Alligator mississippiensis: one gene and its partner. The protein of the gene in region 1 binds, or shares a complex with, the protein of each later gene. Links are inferred from orthologs where the notes say so. Each region holds a gene or a part of one and is shown on either strand. Other genes may lie near its edges. The genes, in order: RHEB and PDE6D.

Region 1 (8,401 bases):
ATGCACCCTTGCCTAAACAGTTTTATTAAGCATGGGGAACAAGACATTTATTTAGTAGTGCCATGGAAGTTAACACCATTTCTACTGCAGCAAATCCTGTGTTCTGCAGTATTTACCAATACAATATAACATAATCCTACAAGACAGTTAAGGGGCTGTTTGCTATTTCTGGGACTATAATTAGGCCTTTTGTGCTCCTTTGTAACTTTTGTTGGTTTTGCAGGAACTCCTCCAACCAACAATCAAAAACTAACTGGACTGGAAACTAAAGCTTTGACATCAGGGTAAAGCAGATTAACTGTGTATATCACATGCATTAGCACCCAACAGTGAAAGCAATTATAGAAGATTCAAGAATTTAACAAATTTAGTGACACTAACCTTATGAATCATTTGAGTCTTGCAAAAGAATCAGTTGACATGTGGGGCTGGGGGAGGGAGTTAAACCCTCAAAATTTTGTCTATCCCAGGACAGCGGATAGGCCATACTACAATTTTACTTTTGCTGTGTAAGTGCCAGTTTCTATAGGTTGTCTCAAATTTACCTTCAGAAGACAAATAAAGTACAGCCCAAGTTTTTCACCCTGCTGATGGAACTCCACAGTCCATGGGGCTCTTGCACTAGACCACATTTACCACGTGCCCCATTAAACACACGGCATGGGAAAGATTGTGAAAGAAGCTGGCAGGTACCCTTTTGAACCAGAAGCTGAAAGCTTGTGTTACATCATTGAACAACACACTGCAAGGTAAAGGGCACAGGGATTTTCTGCCCACCAGCTGCTCTTTAGTAACTGTTCATTTGTACACAGTTTCCCCACAGCAGGTGAAAAGTAAATTGCAGTATCTTAGCTTTGACGCCAAGAGAGCTGCCAAGAGTAGTTAACGTAGCAAGTTCCCATCCCCTTTACCTTGTAGCTCATCTACACACATTGTCAACCAATACTTGACAGGCAGATATCTCATAAAAAACCCCAGTGATTAAGAAAGTAGGTTTTGATAGTGGTAGAAAGAGAGAGGCTATAGCCAACTAGGGGGGAATGGGTGTGTAAGAATATCAGCTCCAAAATGGTATGCCACTGCATGACCTTCCTAGAGATGAACAACTGTAGCCTCCGTAAGCTTCCTATGTACAAATTCAGCCATACTCATTACTTCCAGTAAGTCACTGCAGTTTGCACAAGCCAAGCTTTGACATACAGAGACTACCTTTAGGAGAGAGTCATATCTCAAGTGCATTTCAAGTCAAGTTACAGATCAAGAGCTCAGAGATTTTGCATGTCATGATCTCTGTATACAAGAGTACTTGGGTAACCACTTAAAAGTGATCTCACACACTCTGCTGGTGTTCTCCCCAAATAAAGGCAGAACTGAATTGGGTACATCTGAGAATTTTGAAGAGGTTTCAGATCAGTTGCCCAAATGCAGTACTTCCTAGGTTACACCGTATATTTGGAGACAGCACTTGAAATGTCCAACGCCATATAAAGCAGACCACTCTACTGCTTTACCAAGTAGCATGCTGAAGTAGTACTCTTGAAGTCATTCAAGATTCATGTTTCCAGGCTCCATGCCACCGAAGTGTAGGCTGATAAAAACACAAGCGGTTTTAGAACCGAAAATTATTCAAGTGTAGGAAGTCATAAATGACACTGATCAGATAAAAGGGATCTGTAACAAGATTTGGCTATTTTTCCAGCCAAAAGAGCTTTTACAAAAGTGGGAGGACAGAAAGAACATTCAGTTTTGTGTTAAAAACACACCAGACCTCCCCCTTCCCCCCCCCCCCACCAAACTAAAAATTTTGCTCACAACATTCTGTACTGTTAGTATGACCATTTAGTAAAGAAATACCATGTACAAAATAGTTAGGTTAAAACTTTCTCCAGGACTAGGAGATGCTGCAGTACTACTCTCCGTTCCCTAAGAACTGCAAAGGGAAAGGGAAACAACACATTTGGTTCTTTGAACGTATTCCCCAAGTTCTCCCAAAGCCTTGCAAAGTGGGACAAGCCCAGCAACAGCAGACTACTGCTCAGTGCTCTCAAGAACAAAAAAAACCCCTGGCAAGTCCTCCTAATGCTCCACAGGCAAATTCTACAGTTTTGTACTTGCGTGCCACCATGGACCACAATATATTTACACACAGCCAGGACTCTCGTAAGTGGCTCCTAGGTCATTACATCTGGCACCCTTTTTTCAAAGGCTTCAGTCCCTGTTAAGGAAGGCTTGAGGCTCCAAGAATATTACTGCTTTACAGAGTTAGCTTGAACTCTTTACTGACAAGATTTTCTCCAGGTGTTTAGACTGCATTCTTCCTAGGATTAGGATACCGAGTCTTGTTAACGAACAGAGACAACAGCTTTGTTTCTGTACTTCTGTTGAGTTCTCCTAGGTCTCTCAGATAAACTCCAGTGAGAATGTCACTGGTCCAACCAACAAAGACAGTACCAATGAGGTACTAGGAATACTTTGCGGGACTGGAAGGACACTTAATGCATGAACCCCAATTAGTAACTCTTAAATTCCTCTAATTACAGGCAGTCCTCAGACTTATGACACGATTGGTTCCTGAAAACTGTGTCTTAAGTCGAAACGCTGTAACTCAGAACCAATTTTCTCATAAGAAACAATGTTATAAATGGGGGATTGGTTCCTGAACCAAGGCCCAATACCCTATTTTCACCAAAAATACCCAAACATTTTGTACTCCATCAATTATAGATGAGTAATACAGCTACATTAATGTATTTATATTGTAAATAGCAATCATATTGATTTGGAAGGACTTCTTTGAGGTGACTTTGCTGGACTTTTTGAAGAGCTCTTGGTTGGACTTTTTGAAGGGTTCTTGGCTGGAGTCTTCTCGAGTCTTGGCTGTAGGGTTTTCTGGAGTCTTGCCTGCTTCCTTAAAGAAAGTGTCCAAGGAAGTTTGGAGAGATGTTCTCCAGGGAGATGGGCAATGCAGCGAACTTGTTTGCTGGCATGGCGTTGCATTGGATCAAGTGTTGTAAAGTCGAAACTGACGTCATAAAGTTGAAACAGGGTGTCAATTTATAAACGTAGCTCAAAACGTTGTAAGTCGAGGACTGCCTGTATCATCAGGGGTGCACCAATAGAAATATTTTGGGCCAATACCAATGGCTGATTTGGCCAATACTTACCAGGCGAATGCTGTTGTCCACACTGCCAGGCTGTGCTCCTGGCTGCCTGGCATGCTGAGCTGCAGCTGCACACATGGACAGGGCATTTATCTGCAACATTAATCAACCACATCAGCCAAAAAAAGCTGATTGCTGATGTCAATTTTTCTTAAATCAGTGATAATACAACATGGGACCAATATATCGGTGTACCTCTAACTGTCATTGAGATTCTGACTGGCTACTGATGGGAGTAACACTAAGCTTCACCCACAATTTGTGTAGTGGATAACTGTCTTGTTCAAGGTAAGGCAAGAATCTTCTGTGTGGTAGTTTTTATTGGACTAACTACATAGTTGGAAAGACAAAGACAAGCTTTTCAGCAGGGCTGTGTGAAGCTTCGGTAGCTGATTCGATTCAGAGGAGATTCGGCCCAATACAGGGACCGAATCTCCGAAACCGAATTGAATCAGGAGATCGAGTAAAAACTCCAAATCGATTCGGAAGAGATTTGGCCGATTCAGCCATAGACGCAACAGGCAGCTAGCTGACAGCTGCCTCCAGCTGGTAAATCTGTTGGGGTTGGGAGGGTGGGAAGGGAAGGGATGTGGGGGGAGGGAGGGATTGGGGCTGGGACAAGCGGCCCAGCCGTGGCAGAGGGGCGTGTTACTCGGGAAGGGAGGCTGGGGGGCCGAGGTGGGGGGGGGCCACAGCTCACTCCAGACATAAGGGGACAAGCAGCAGCAGGGCACAGCCCTTGCTCCTAGCATTGCTGCACCCTCTTCCTGTGCCAGCTGGCAAGCTGCAGCAGGGCAGAGCCCCCACTCCCAGCACTGATGTGGGCGCAGCAGCATTGGGAGCGGGGACTATGCCCTGCTGCCACCTGGAGCGAACCGTGCCTGCATCATGCCCTTCCCACGCCGGCCGGGCAAGCAGCAGCAGGGCATAGGACCCACGGCTCCCCCCACAAGGGCAGAGGCAGGCACAGCCAAGGAGCAGCGAGAGAAGCCCCCATGGCCTCTCCTCGGCAGAACTGAATCACCGAATTTCTTCAGATCAGCACCAAATCTTCCAAAGCTGATTCAGCTGAATTCATTCAGGACACTGATCCAAATTTCCAAATCAAATCGCTGTCCTCCAAATCGGTCGAATCCAAATCAAATACTTCCCTACTGACACAGGCCTACTTTTCAGTAGGAGTGCATTGATAGAGATTTTCGAGGCCAATACCAACAGCTGATATTTAAGGAGGCATATTGGCCAATACCAATCTGATTTCCAATACAGCTGCCTCCAGCTGGTAAGTCCGGTGTGGTGGAAGGGAAGGGGGGAGGGCACAACACCCCCCCCCCATGGTGAGGGAGGGGGCAGGGACAGGGCAGGCACTGCCCAGGCAGGGTTGGGGGGAAGCGCGAAGCTGCGGCTCATGGCGGAGGAGGGGGCGCGCGCGGCGGGAGGTGGCTCTTGCTGCTGCTTGCACCCCAGGAAGGCATGGGGGAGGGGGAGAGGGGAGTGCAGCCCGACCTGCACATGGCAGGTTGGGCTGCAGCCAGGGCTGTGTGGGGCTCTTCTCAGCAGGTCCTGGGCTCAGAGCAGGGACTAATGATGCTGGAAGGATGCTGCATCCACCCCAAATTTCGCCGCTGCTCTGCTCCCAGTGCCGTTGCTGTCAGCTGCCCAGCGCAGCCCCAGCTTGTGGGTGGAGGCAGGGCATTGAACCGGGGCTGCCCCAGACAGCTGGCAGTGGAGCTGCTGCAAAACGTGGGGTAGATGCAGCATCCTCCCAGCACCATTGGTGCCTGCTCCAAACCCAGCCCCCGCCAAGAAAAGCCCTGGCTGCAGCCTGCCCCACCCTGCCCCATGCACATCTGGGGGGGTACACCCCTGCCCTGTGCCCTCCCACACTGCAAGAAGCAGTGGGAACCGCTTCCCCTCCCCCCCATAAGCTGTCACTCCAGCCCCAACCCCCACCTGGGCAGCACTTGCCCCCTCCCTCACCACAGGGTGTACTCATTTGCCCCCCTGGCCCCCTTTTCCCTCCCCTTCCACTACACCAGAGTTACCAGCTGGAGGCAGCTCTCCATGCTGCCAGCTGTGCTCCTCGCTGCCCGAGCCCTGCACTGCAACTGCGCACAGCACGGGTATTTATCAGCCAAATTATCAGCCCTATTGAGCCAATATCTGATACAGCCAGTTTTCTTCATACTGGTACCAATATGATATCAGACCGACGTATTGGTACACCTATACTTTCCAAGGATCACGGTACCCTTCCTCAGGCTAACTCAGACTATTGCCTAAAAAAAAGGGAGACAAAATAAAGCAGCTAGCCTTCAGGAAGAAGAAGAATATGAATTGGACTATTCCTGCTACTCCGTTCAATTTCAAACCGGTAGAGGTATATCTATGAGAACAGCTACAAATCTCCACTATGATAGAACTGTGGATGGATTTCAAAAAATTTAACATTTAAACATGGAACGCCTATTTGCAGTTGTTAGCATCTACTTTTGAGTACCACTGGCTTAGGAGTTAAAGAGGTTGCCTACTTTTTTAGACCCAAGGCACCCCTCTCTGAAGATGCCAGCTCTTACCTTTCACTTGTTTTTTTACAACAGAAAAAAAGGACAATTCTTCTGTTGCAAAGAACTCATGAAGATGACAAAAGGTCAGAATGGGTTTAATACAAGGGATTCCTTTTGGAAATCTCTGGGTTTATCACATGAACCATGTCTGCATACCTAACAACAATGCTAATCTTGTGCATCACCCTTGAAAGGATCAAGGCACCCCAGGATGCTAAGCAGCATCCTAAGCACTGTACCTTGCGGAAACTGAATTATATTCCATAAAGTCATCCATAAAGCCATTTCAGCACAACTGATTGGACTTCAGACAATTAAATCATGACTCACATAGCTAGTTTGCTGTATGAGTGTACATTTAACCAATGATTTCTCTACTCCAGTCTGAAGAATAATATTTTACAACTGAAGACACCAACTCTTCAACAAGGGAAGTGATGAGGGATCATCTCAGAGCATGTGGTTAGGTAGAACCAACACAACCCTGCATTAGTTAAACCCTTGTTCCCTAGCTAGTACAGGAGACCCTCGCCATTCGCAAGGGATACGTTCTCGTATCCCCCACGAACGGCGAAATCCGCGAATAAGGCACTGTGTTCATGAATGCTGTCTGTGTTTATGAAAGCAGTGCCCCGGCAGCTGGGGGGGAGGGGGGGGAGGGCATGGCTGCGCTGGCAACAGTGGGAGCACAGTGGCAGCAAGCGCAGAGCTCCAGAGGAGCTCCCTTAAGTATATTTAAGATATGGGTTTGGCATTCACAAGTATTTGGAACTGTGAATGCCAAACCCATAAATGACAAAGGGAAATCATAGGATGGCGTTTGGCTGTGCTGGTGATGGCGGGAGCATGGCGGCGGTGGCAGGAGTGGCGGCAGCAGTGGCAAAAGCGCAGAGTGTATTTAAAATGAGGGTTCAGCATTCGTGAATATCTGAAACCACGAATGCTGAACCAGCGAATAGCGAGGGCAATCATAGGATGGCATTTTGGAAGCGCCAAGAGATTCTCCACAAGGTGCTGAAGGGCTTCAATGCTATGCAACTGTACTGTTAACAACTCCCATTAGGCTACTGAGAAAAATATTACATTGTTACATGTACCATGTAGGACCGACTAGGGCCATGTACATGCCTGACATTTCTACTGGGAGAATTGCTGCTCTCCCCATAGAAATTAGGTGTGTACAAGTGTTTGTTCAATTCCTCACTCCAGGAGAAATATCATCCAGGTTGATAGTTGGGGCCTGCATGTAATGAATGCTTGTATGCTGCCAGGCTCCTTCCAACTGATCACAGAAGAGTTCAGTAGCAACTTCCCCTTTGCCTTTCCCAGATGGGGGGGCAACAGTCTTGGGAATGTGTGCACATGTGGGGGGCAACATTTCCCCACAGCTCTACTCCTTATCAAAGATACAAACACCCTCAAGTTTGAATCAGTTTCCTTATAACAGTTGTAACGCAATATCAGGAGGAAGAAAAATGTGATGAACTTCCCTCCTTACAAGGTCTGCAGTGAAAAACCTCACTTGATATACTGAGACAAAAGACTTGTAGTAGTCACTCCTACAGTTAGTCAGATGTAATCATGCTCTTGCACAACTATGATGCATACCAACCAGGTGAGAACTGAATTTCATTAAGAGAGAACACCAGCCTTCAGAGGTTTGCCAAGCCCATATATGGTCCTTGTACATCCCAAATGCCTTAGGGCTTTGGACACAGCTTTTGTGGGAGGGATAAGAACTAAGTGGCAAGGTGAACAGCAGCTCAGCTCTGCACGAAACCACACTAGAACCCAGATACTTCCCACAGTTGGGGTCCTTATACCTCCTTGCAAAGGTGAGGTTTTGCGAAATAACCAGAGGTAGCCACAGCCACAAACAGCTGCAAAGGACTGCAGTAGTGCTCCAGCTGAGCTGCAAAGTGGCCCCTTTGAAGCACAGGCCAATCGTTCAGATTTATTAAGTTCTTCTCTTACTACCTTTCTCAGCAACAATTTTCCTAGTACAGGTCTGTATGATTGAAACTGCTAGATCTTCTCCAAGTCTGTCTGTGATGCAGGGTCTTGATAAGAGCAAGAGTATGTCAAATCAAGTAAGTTCAAGAGCATGTCAAATCTGCAGTGTTTAAGTTAACATACTACGGTTTCCCTTCCCTCCCCTCCTGTTACTCAAAGACACCTTACTACTGCAAGCCAGAGGATCTCTAGGAGGCCAAGACTGAAGAGGAAGAAGCGAGAAGAGATTCCCCCCCTTCTGGCAGCCTCAGATTTATTTCTGAGCTCCCAAACATTGTTTAGGCCCTGGGAGCAAGAACTCCCAAAAAAACACCTTTACTAAAAACTTTTCAACTGCCCTCTTCACACCAGGCCATGTCAAGGTCTCTGGAACAGGGAAAGAGCTGGACTACAAAATACGAGTACAGGCCTCGAGCAACCATGCACTAGCCTGTAGGCTTTGCAAAGCCAATGATACTCCCAATTAAACTTTGACCTCAACACTGATTTTCAGAAGTGAAACTCCAGTGCTATGTAATCAAATACGCAGTTGTTTCCCTGAACCTTCTGCCACTGTCAAAAGATTGAAGATGCTGAACTTCACCAAAAAATGGAATATGCCTGGTTCAATTCACCTGGACCAAGCATTCTCAAGCATCACCTAGACAAGCATTTTCCAGG
Region 2 (7,821 bases), on another chromosome or scaffold:
TTATGGGCAGCTCATCAGGACCCTTCCTCAGTTAAAGCAGTTCTTAACTAAACTTCTATTTGAAAAAATGACTTGCAAAATCTTTGCATGAAATCCCTGCTACCTCAAGAATTTAATAAAATTAAAAATAATACTCTACTAAGTACTTCAGTACTGACTTTTTTGGATCAGCCAATCTAATACTTGACTTTGTCTCCTCCCGTGGGGGTTGAATGTATTGTTTCAGAGTGGGTCAGGGCCCAGTCATTCCAGGAAGTGAACAAAGACTGAACTTGGACTGCTCCCACATGGCTGTACTAAGCAGTAACATTTAGGTTATTAAGCTGGCCCACTTAGGTAGGTTCAGGTAGGACAAATACTAACTATGTCTGCTGAAAATAGTGGAAAGTTACACCTGCACGACCTCCTCTTCCCCCCAGCCTTGAAAGGTGACAAAACACTTTACTTTGAGTAATCTTAACTATACACAGGGCTTAATTCATGCAACACTTAAATATAGCTGTGGCCAAGTTCCCTAGAAAGCAGAAGATACATGCGGTCCCTATACATACTGACCCAACAAGAATATCAATTTTATTTTGTGCTTGTTCATTTCTTAGAGTCCTTGGAGATTACTTAACAGATTCCTAGAGCCCTGGGGCTGGAAGACGGCTCCAGGTCACATCTAGTCCAACCCCTGCCTGAGGCAAGATCAGCCCTGTTCAAGCCATCCCATATAAATCCACAGTCAATCCTGATGCAACACAAGACGTAATGCCCTAACCTGCCACAAGTAAAGCCAACATCCTGCTGCAGCAAAGATCATTAATTGCTCAAGAGATCCCAAGTAGAGGACACACCTCCTACTATAGAAGGCAAAACTCCAACTGTCTGGACCAACCTAACCAGGGGGTAAAATTGCTTCCTGACACCAAATATAGTGATGTTAGACTCCCCACCAGCAGGAGGGGAAAAGATTCCTTTCCGACCCATGGGTCAGCCAGAAAAGCCCAAAAGCAAAGAAATCCCCACGGTACAGCATAGGCATCGCTACACCAGATCATCCCCAGCCAGTGGCTGTCCAACCTCTCCTTGAACCCCTCCAGCGAGGGAGTCTGCACCTTCCCTGGCGTCTATTCCTCTGCCTCCCTGCTCTGACAGTCAAGAAGTCTTTCCTGAAATCCAGCGTAAAGCTACTTTTTGTTTTGTCTTTGCTGCTGCCGGCAAGTTAGCTTGAACTTCTGACTAGCCTCTAATGGCCTTTGGTCTAAGCATCTTTCTGACAACTGAAATATCATACTGCATGCTTCAGGAAGATTTGCTGCTGCTACTTTGGAAACAAAAAAGGAAACTATCCCAAAACCAGATGGTTTGGGGGGTGAGAGGAGAGAGAAAGGACTTCATGATCTTACAGAGAGAAGCATCTGCTTGCCATTTGATGGTAGCCATTTGGCTAAATCCAACATCTAGAAGCTCGGATCCTGATGCAGCTGGTAAAGAGATTATATGTATCTCTGGTAAAGAGATTATATGCATCTCACTGCAGGGGAAGTCCCGTTAGGTAAAAACGGCATCCAAAAATACCACAGAATTACATCGCCCGTGTCTGGCCCCTTCCCCCACGCTGTCAGCGAGGAGCGGTGCAGCCAGCACCCAGCTCTGCCTCCTGCCCCTGTGCTAAGCATAGCCACAAAACCGGCATGCACACCTCCTTCCCCGGAGCCCGTCATGCTTGCGCTCCTCCTCCTGCTCTCGGGCTCAACCTTTGCTGCAACCTCGGGGAGGGAGCGAAGCCCTTGGCCAGCAGCTCTCGGCCTGCCACAGAGCAGTGGTCCCTTGCCTGGACTCGAACCTCCCCCCCACACACCTGCAGTCCCTGGACAGACTCGTGGCCTCCCAGATGGACTCATACCCCCACCCCAGATGCCTCCACCCAGGGGGGGCCATCAGGCTACAGCAGGGGCCACAAGTCTAAGGTACCCAGAACAGACTCACGGCCCCACAGATGGACTCACAGCCTCTGGATAGACTCGAGACCCCCAGAGAAAGACTCATGCCCCCCCTTGGATGGACTCAAGACCCCCACATCAGACTCACCCCCCCCCCCGCATTGGGCTTGCCGGCCCCTGCATTGACTCCAGATCTGGATGGACCTGAGACCGCCCCTCCCCCCAAAAAAACACTCGTAGCTTCCCAAATGGACTCATGCCCCCGCCATGAGTCCATCCAGGGGGGCCATGAGTCTATGTGGGGGAGGGGCAAGTATAAGACCCCCTGAACAGACTCAGGACCCCCCCCTCCCCCCACGCCAGACTCGGCACCCTCCAGTTAGACTCACAGGATCAACTCAAGACCACACTGGATGGACCTGGGACCCCCCAGAACAGGCCCTCCACCCCCTGGCTGGGCTCAGGACCCCCCTGGATGGACCCAGGACCCCCAGAACAGGCCCTCCACCCCCTGGCTGGGCTCAGGACCCCCCTGGATGGACCCAGGACCCCCAGAACAGGCCCTCCACCCCCTGGCTGGGCTCAGGACCCCCCTGGATGGACCCAGGACCCCCAGAACAGGCCCTCCACCCCCTGGCTGGGCTCAGGACCCCCCTGGATGGACCCAGGACCCCCAGAACAGGCCCTCCACCCCCTGGCTGGGCTCAGGACCCCCCTGGATGGACCCAGGACCCCCAGAACAGGCCCTCCACCCCCTGGCTGGGCTCAGGACCCCCCTGGATGGACCCAGGACCCCCAGAACAGGCCCTCCACCCCCTGGCTGGGCTCAGGACCCCCCTGGATGGACCCAGGACCCCCAGAACAGGCCCTCCACCCCCTGGCTGGGCTCAGGACCCTCCTGGATGAACCCAGGACCCCCAGAACAGATCCTCCGCCCCCTGGATGTGCTCATGGCCTCCCTGGATGGGCTCAGGACCCCCCTGCATGAACCTGGGACCCCCAGAACAGGCCCTCCGCCCCCTGGGTGGACACAAGCAGACCCCCATTAGAGACTCAGCACCCCCTGGACGGACTGAGGATCCCGCTGGACGGGCCCGAGCAGCCCCTCCCCCCACGAAGTGGGCTCCGCCCCCCCCCGCGCGGTCCCCATGGCAACGCGGAGCCCCCACCCTGCCCGGCGGATACAGCTTGAAGCCCCTCAGGATCTCCTTGGCCCGCTCGTCCTTGGCCGACATGGTCCCGCGGCGCTGGCGCCGCCCCGGGCGCAGGACAGGACAGGACAAGACAGGACGGGTCGGGTCGGGTCGTGCGGGCTCGGGCGCGGACCGCGGCGCCTCACAGCCCGCAGCCGCCACGACCCAGCCCGGGCGGGGCCAGCCAATGGGCGTTCGCCGCTCCGCCCCCCGGTGCCGGACGGACAGCGCCCACAGCCAATGAGAGCGCGGCGCGGCCTGGCAGCCAGCAAGGGCGGCTGCGCAAGTAGGGGCGGTGGAGGAGACACGCCCCCTCCCTCTTGGCGACCTGACGTCGCCGCGGGGATGGGAGCCGCAGCGGGACAAATATGTGCGAGGGGCGCGGCCGCTGGGGACTGCAAAGGGCGCGGCGCGGCGCCCCCTGCGGGCGCCACGTGAGAGTGCGCGAGACACGTGCGGGGCCCCGCTCTCGCACCATGTGCGATCCGCAGGGATCCGCGTTTTCCCTGATTTCAAAACATCCTCACTTTTCGGTTTAAAAAAAAAAAGGAACCCCAAATCCACATTTTCCCGTGATTAAATGAAAAGCCACTAATATAGAGATATAGACATAGTGGTCTTTAAATCATGGAAAAATGTGGATTTGGGGTTACTTTTTTTTTTTTTTTTTAACCGAAAAGTGAGGATTTTTTGAAATCAAGGAAAACCAGGATCCCTGGCAATCAGTCATAGTAACAGTGTTCAAATGGCCCCGCATTTTGGAGACAAGGGTCTTCGTGTAAATCTGATATCTTTGATTAAACCAACTCCAAGAGTTGGGAAAATTGTTCTTTGCAAGCTTTGGGGTAGAAAGCTGTCATTTTGGAGGCAGCTCCTTGGCGCAGCATATGCAAAACCCCAGTCACTCTCAGGTCATCTTTGCTAACTTTTGGGTTTGCGGCCAGCGTTTTGCTTTGCCTGGGAATAAAGAAATGCTTCATTTTTGATGGCCCAGCTCTCACTCACTTGGAGTCACACAGCAATGTAGAACAAAGAAGAAAGCTTATTTGCATACTTTTTCAGTGTATTTTGAGTTTCCAATGTAATAATTCCATATTTAAAACCTGGCAACGCCAGACCCTGTGTGCAAGCCATGTGCAGGGAAGGGTCCCACTGCCCCTTCCCAGGGGAGGAGGAAGCTCTCCCTTGGGACCCCTCCTTATTCGGTCTCCCTCTGCTGAGAGCAGCCCTGCAGCCAGGTGCTTCACAAGGGGCTGCTCCTCTGGCTTGGAGACCCTGGCTCCTCTCCACCTCTGGGAGCTCCTTCTTTTCCCTCAACTCCCAGGAAGCAGGGGGTGTTTTCTTCCTGTAAAGAAGCAGGGTTTGGGGGCACTGATAGTCTCCACCAGCAGAGCGGACTCTGCTCCATGACACGGGATGGGGATCAGGGAGTCACTGTGGATGGTTTACTAAAAACATTGCGTCAGGGCCCGGCTGCCGTCAAGAAGGCAAACACCACGTTCAGGAATATTGAGGCAATCGTGAACACAACGGAGACTATCGTGATGCCCCTTTGTAGATCCATGGGGCATCCACACCGTAAATATTGCACCCGGCTCTGGTCCCCACACCCCAGAAAGGATGCAGAAGAAGTAGGGAAGGGCGACACGGATGATCAGTGGCACGGAGGGGCTGCCATCGGGGGAGAGATTAAGGAGGCCAGGCCTGTTCCACTTAGAAAAAGAGACGCCTCGGCGGGGGTCGTGATAGGGGTTTACAACAGGGTGGGCAAAATACGGCTCGGATCTGGTCCACCAAGTGATTCTGTCCAGCCTGTGCTGGGTCCCTCTGTCCCACATAGTCCAGGCGTGGGGGGCAGCCTGGGCTGTGGCGTGTGTGGCTGGTCCTGCCGTGCCCAGGAGGCGGTGCAGTGGCTGATTCAGATTCACAGAAGTTTGGGGCTGGAAGGGACCTCGTGAGACCATCGGGCCCAGCCCCCCTGCTGTGGGCTGGATAGACTGCGGGGGTCAAATAACCCCAGCACAGTGTGCGTCCAGTCTCCTTTGGAAGAGCTCCAGGGTAGATTCATAGATTGTAAGGGGCCGGAAGGGACCTCAGAAGATCATCGCGTCCAGCCCCCTGCACCAAGCAGGAAAGATAACTGGGGGTCAGGCGACCCCAGCGAGGTGACCGTCATCTCCTCTTGAAGATGTCCAGGGTCGGTGATTGCACCACCTCTGGAGGGAGCTTATTCCAGTCTGGACACCCTGACTATGAAGAAGTTTTTCCTAACATTGAGCCTGAATCGATCTTCCAGGAGTTTGTGGCCATTACTCCTGGTTTTCCCCTCAGGTGCCCTGGTGCACGGTTGCTCACCGAGCCCTTGATGTACTCCCCTAGTGCAGCGGTAAGCTGCTACCAGGTCTCCTCTCACCCTCTTTTCCTCAGGCTGCAGAGTCCCACGTCCTCAGCCTTTCCTCGTATGCCTTGCCTTTTAAGACTCTGATCATGCGGGTGGCTCTTCTTTGGACTTTCTCAAGCTTGTCCACGTCCTTGTTCAAGTGCGATGCCCAGAACTGGACGCAGTACTCCAGCTGTAGTCTCACCAGTGCTGAGTAGAGCGGAAGAATCATTGCCTTGGCTTTGTCGGAGATGCATCGATTGATGCACGCCAGAGTACTATTTGCTCTGCTGGCTACAGCGTTATACCGCCGGCTTATATTCATACTGTGGTCTGTTATTACCCCCAGGTCCCTTTCATTCGTGGTGCTGGTCAGTTTGGTGCTGCCAAGCCTGTAGGTGTGTGGGGGTTGCTCGTCCCGAGGTGCAGCACTTTACATTTCTCGATGTTGAACTTCATCAGATTCCTGTCCACCCAACTTGCTAGCCTGTCTAGGTCCACCTGTATCTGTAGCCTATCTTCAAGCGTGACCACACTCCCCGGTAACTTGGTGTCATCCGTGAACTTGGCCCATGAGCTCTTCACCCCCACAGCCAAATTGTTAATAAAGACGTTGAAAAGTACAGGACCAAGCACCGACTCTGCCGGGACGCCGCTGCCCACTTCTTGCCAGGATGACACAGATCCGTTCACTACGACTGGGTTCTGTCCTGCGGCCAGTTTCTCACCCACCTGACTGTCTCGGAGTTAAGCCCACAATCCTCCAACTTTCTCAAGAGGACATTGTGGGATACTAGTTCAAAGGCCTTTCGGTAGGTAGGTGCCTGCACCAGCCCCACCCGGAGTCTATTCCAGAGTCTGGTCACACAAACCATGAAGTTTTTCCTTATATCCAGTCTGAAACCTTCTTCTAGGAGTTTATGTCCATTGCTCCTGGTTTTCCTCTGAGGCACTTTGGTGAATAGTTGTTCATCTAGCCCCTGATGCTCTCCCCTGATATATTTGCAAGCTGCCACCAAATCCCCCTGAAGTCTTCTCTTTTCTAAGCTGAACAGTCCCAGATCTGTCAGCCTTTTCTCGTATGGCTTGCTCTTCGGGCCTCTAATCATACGAGTGGCTCATCTCTGGACTCCCTCGAGCTTCTCCACATCCTTCTTGAGGGATGGCTCCCAGAACTGGACGCCTTACTCCAGCCGCAGCCTCGCCAATGCTGAGTAGAGCAGAAGAAAAACTTCCTTCGTTTTGTTTGAGATGCATCGGTTGATGCACGCCAGCGTATTGTTTGTTCTGCCAAATGTAGCATCACACCGGTGGCTCGTATTCATTTTATGGTCAATTATGAACCCCAGGTCCCTTTTGGACATGGTGTTAGGTACCGTAGCACCACCGAGCCTGTAAGTTTGTGGATTTTTCCTCCTCAGATGGAGCACTTGACACTCCTCAGTGCTGAACAGCATCTGGTTCTGGTCCACCCACCTAATTAATGTGTCTAGGTCTGCCTGGATCATCAGCCTACCCTGATGTGTGGCCACACTTCCCCACAGCTTAGTGTCATCGGCAAACTTTGTCAGTTTGCTTTTCACCTCCACATCCAGATCAGTGATGAAGATGTTGGTGACATCAATGATGTTGGTGGCATTCATGTGGTGGCAGCTCATTCTGCCCGGCTGTTGCTGCCAGTGTCACCACTGCCACCACTGCCAGACCCGGCCCCATTGCCCAGGCACCCCGGCCCATCCACCCTGCACGCACCACCGTGGGTGCTGGACAGAGCAGGCGGGCAGGTGAGGTCTTCATGGGGCCTGGCCCAGGACTGCTGCAGGCAGAGCGTGTTCAGCTGGGTAGATGGGATGGGGCCGCAGGTGTGCGGGGAGCAGCATCCAAGAACAGGACAGGCAGCCAGGGCTGGGGCTGGAGCCGAGATCATGGGGCAGTGACAGTACAGGGCCGAGGCCTGGGGCAGAGTCACGACCCACTCCCCACAGGTCCCTGTGACGGGCGCTGGTCCCGTGGGCAGAGACGTGTGGGGAGTGGATTGTGGCTTTGCCCCAGGCCCCAGCCCTGCCCTGTCGCTGCCCCATGATCCCAGCCCCATCCTCCCCAACACTGCCCCCACCCCCGCCTGCAGTCCCTTCCCTTCTGCCCGGCCAAGTAGATGCTGCCCGCAGGGGTCCTGGACCAGTCTCCATGCCTGGCACCTCTGGCAGTGGGCGCAGGCTGGACAGGGCTGGGGCCAGACAGGATTAGTTGCACCCCACCTTTGCCCCCTACCCCCCATCCACTGGGCCAAGTCAGGACCCTCTCCTTCCCCTCGGTCTGC

What was found.
Region 2: the proteins of RHEB (region 1) and PDE6D are in contact, whole or in part, in a crystal structure (PDB 3T5G), measured with the Homo sapiens proteins. The link is inferred for Alligator mississippiensis from reciprocal best matches to the Homo sapiens genes RHEB and PDE6D. Residues at the interface, in NP_005605.1 of Homo sapiens: Pro2, Gln3, Ser4, Gln57, Asp77, Gln176, Gly177, Lys178, Ser179, Ser180, Cys181; in NP_002592.1 of Homo sapiens: Ile53, Leu54, Cys56, Val59, Val80, Gln85, Cys86, Leu87, Glu88, Glu89, Trp90, Ile109, Glu110, Ala111, Ala112, Pro113, Gln116, Met117, Met118, Leu123, Tyr149.

The regions. Positions count from the first base shown.
Region 1 is NC_081828.1:207,411,807-207,420,207, reverse strand, and holds the start of RHEB (GTP-binding protein Rheb), read right to left. Parts: upstream 3,292-8,401; 5' UTR 3,277-3,291; coding exon 3,165-3,276; intron 1,537-3,164; exon of another isoform or gene 1,522-1,536; coding exon of another isoform or gene 1,512-1,521; intron 1-1,511. UniProt on the Homo sapiens protein: Small GTPase that acts as an allosteric activator of the canonical mTORC1 complex, an evolutionarily conserved central nutrient sensor that stimulates anabolic reactions and macromolecule biosynthesis to promote cellular biomass generation and growth.
Region 2 is NC_081830.1:84,860,324-84,868,144, reverse strand, and holds the start of PDE6D (retinal rod rhodopsin-sensitive cGMP 3',5'-cyclic phosphodiesterase subunit delta), read right to left. Parts: upstream 3,297-7,821; 5' UTR 3,164-3,296; coding exon 3,114-3,163; intron 1-3,113. UniProt on the Homo sapiens protein: Promotes the release of prenylated target proteins from cellular membranes. Modulates the activity of prenylated or palmitoylated Ras family members by regulating their subcellular location.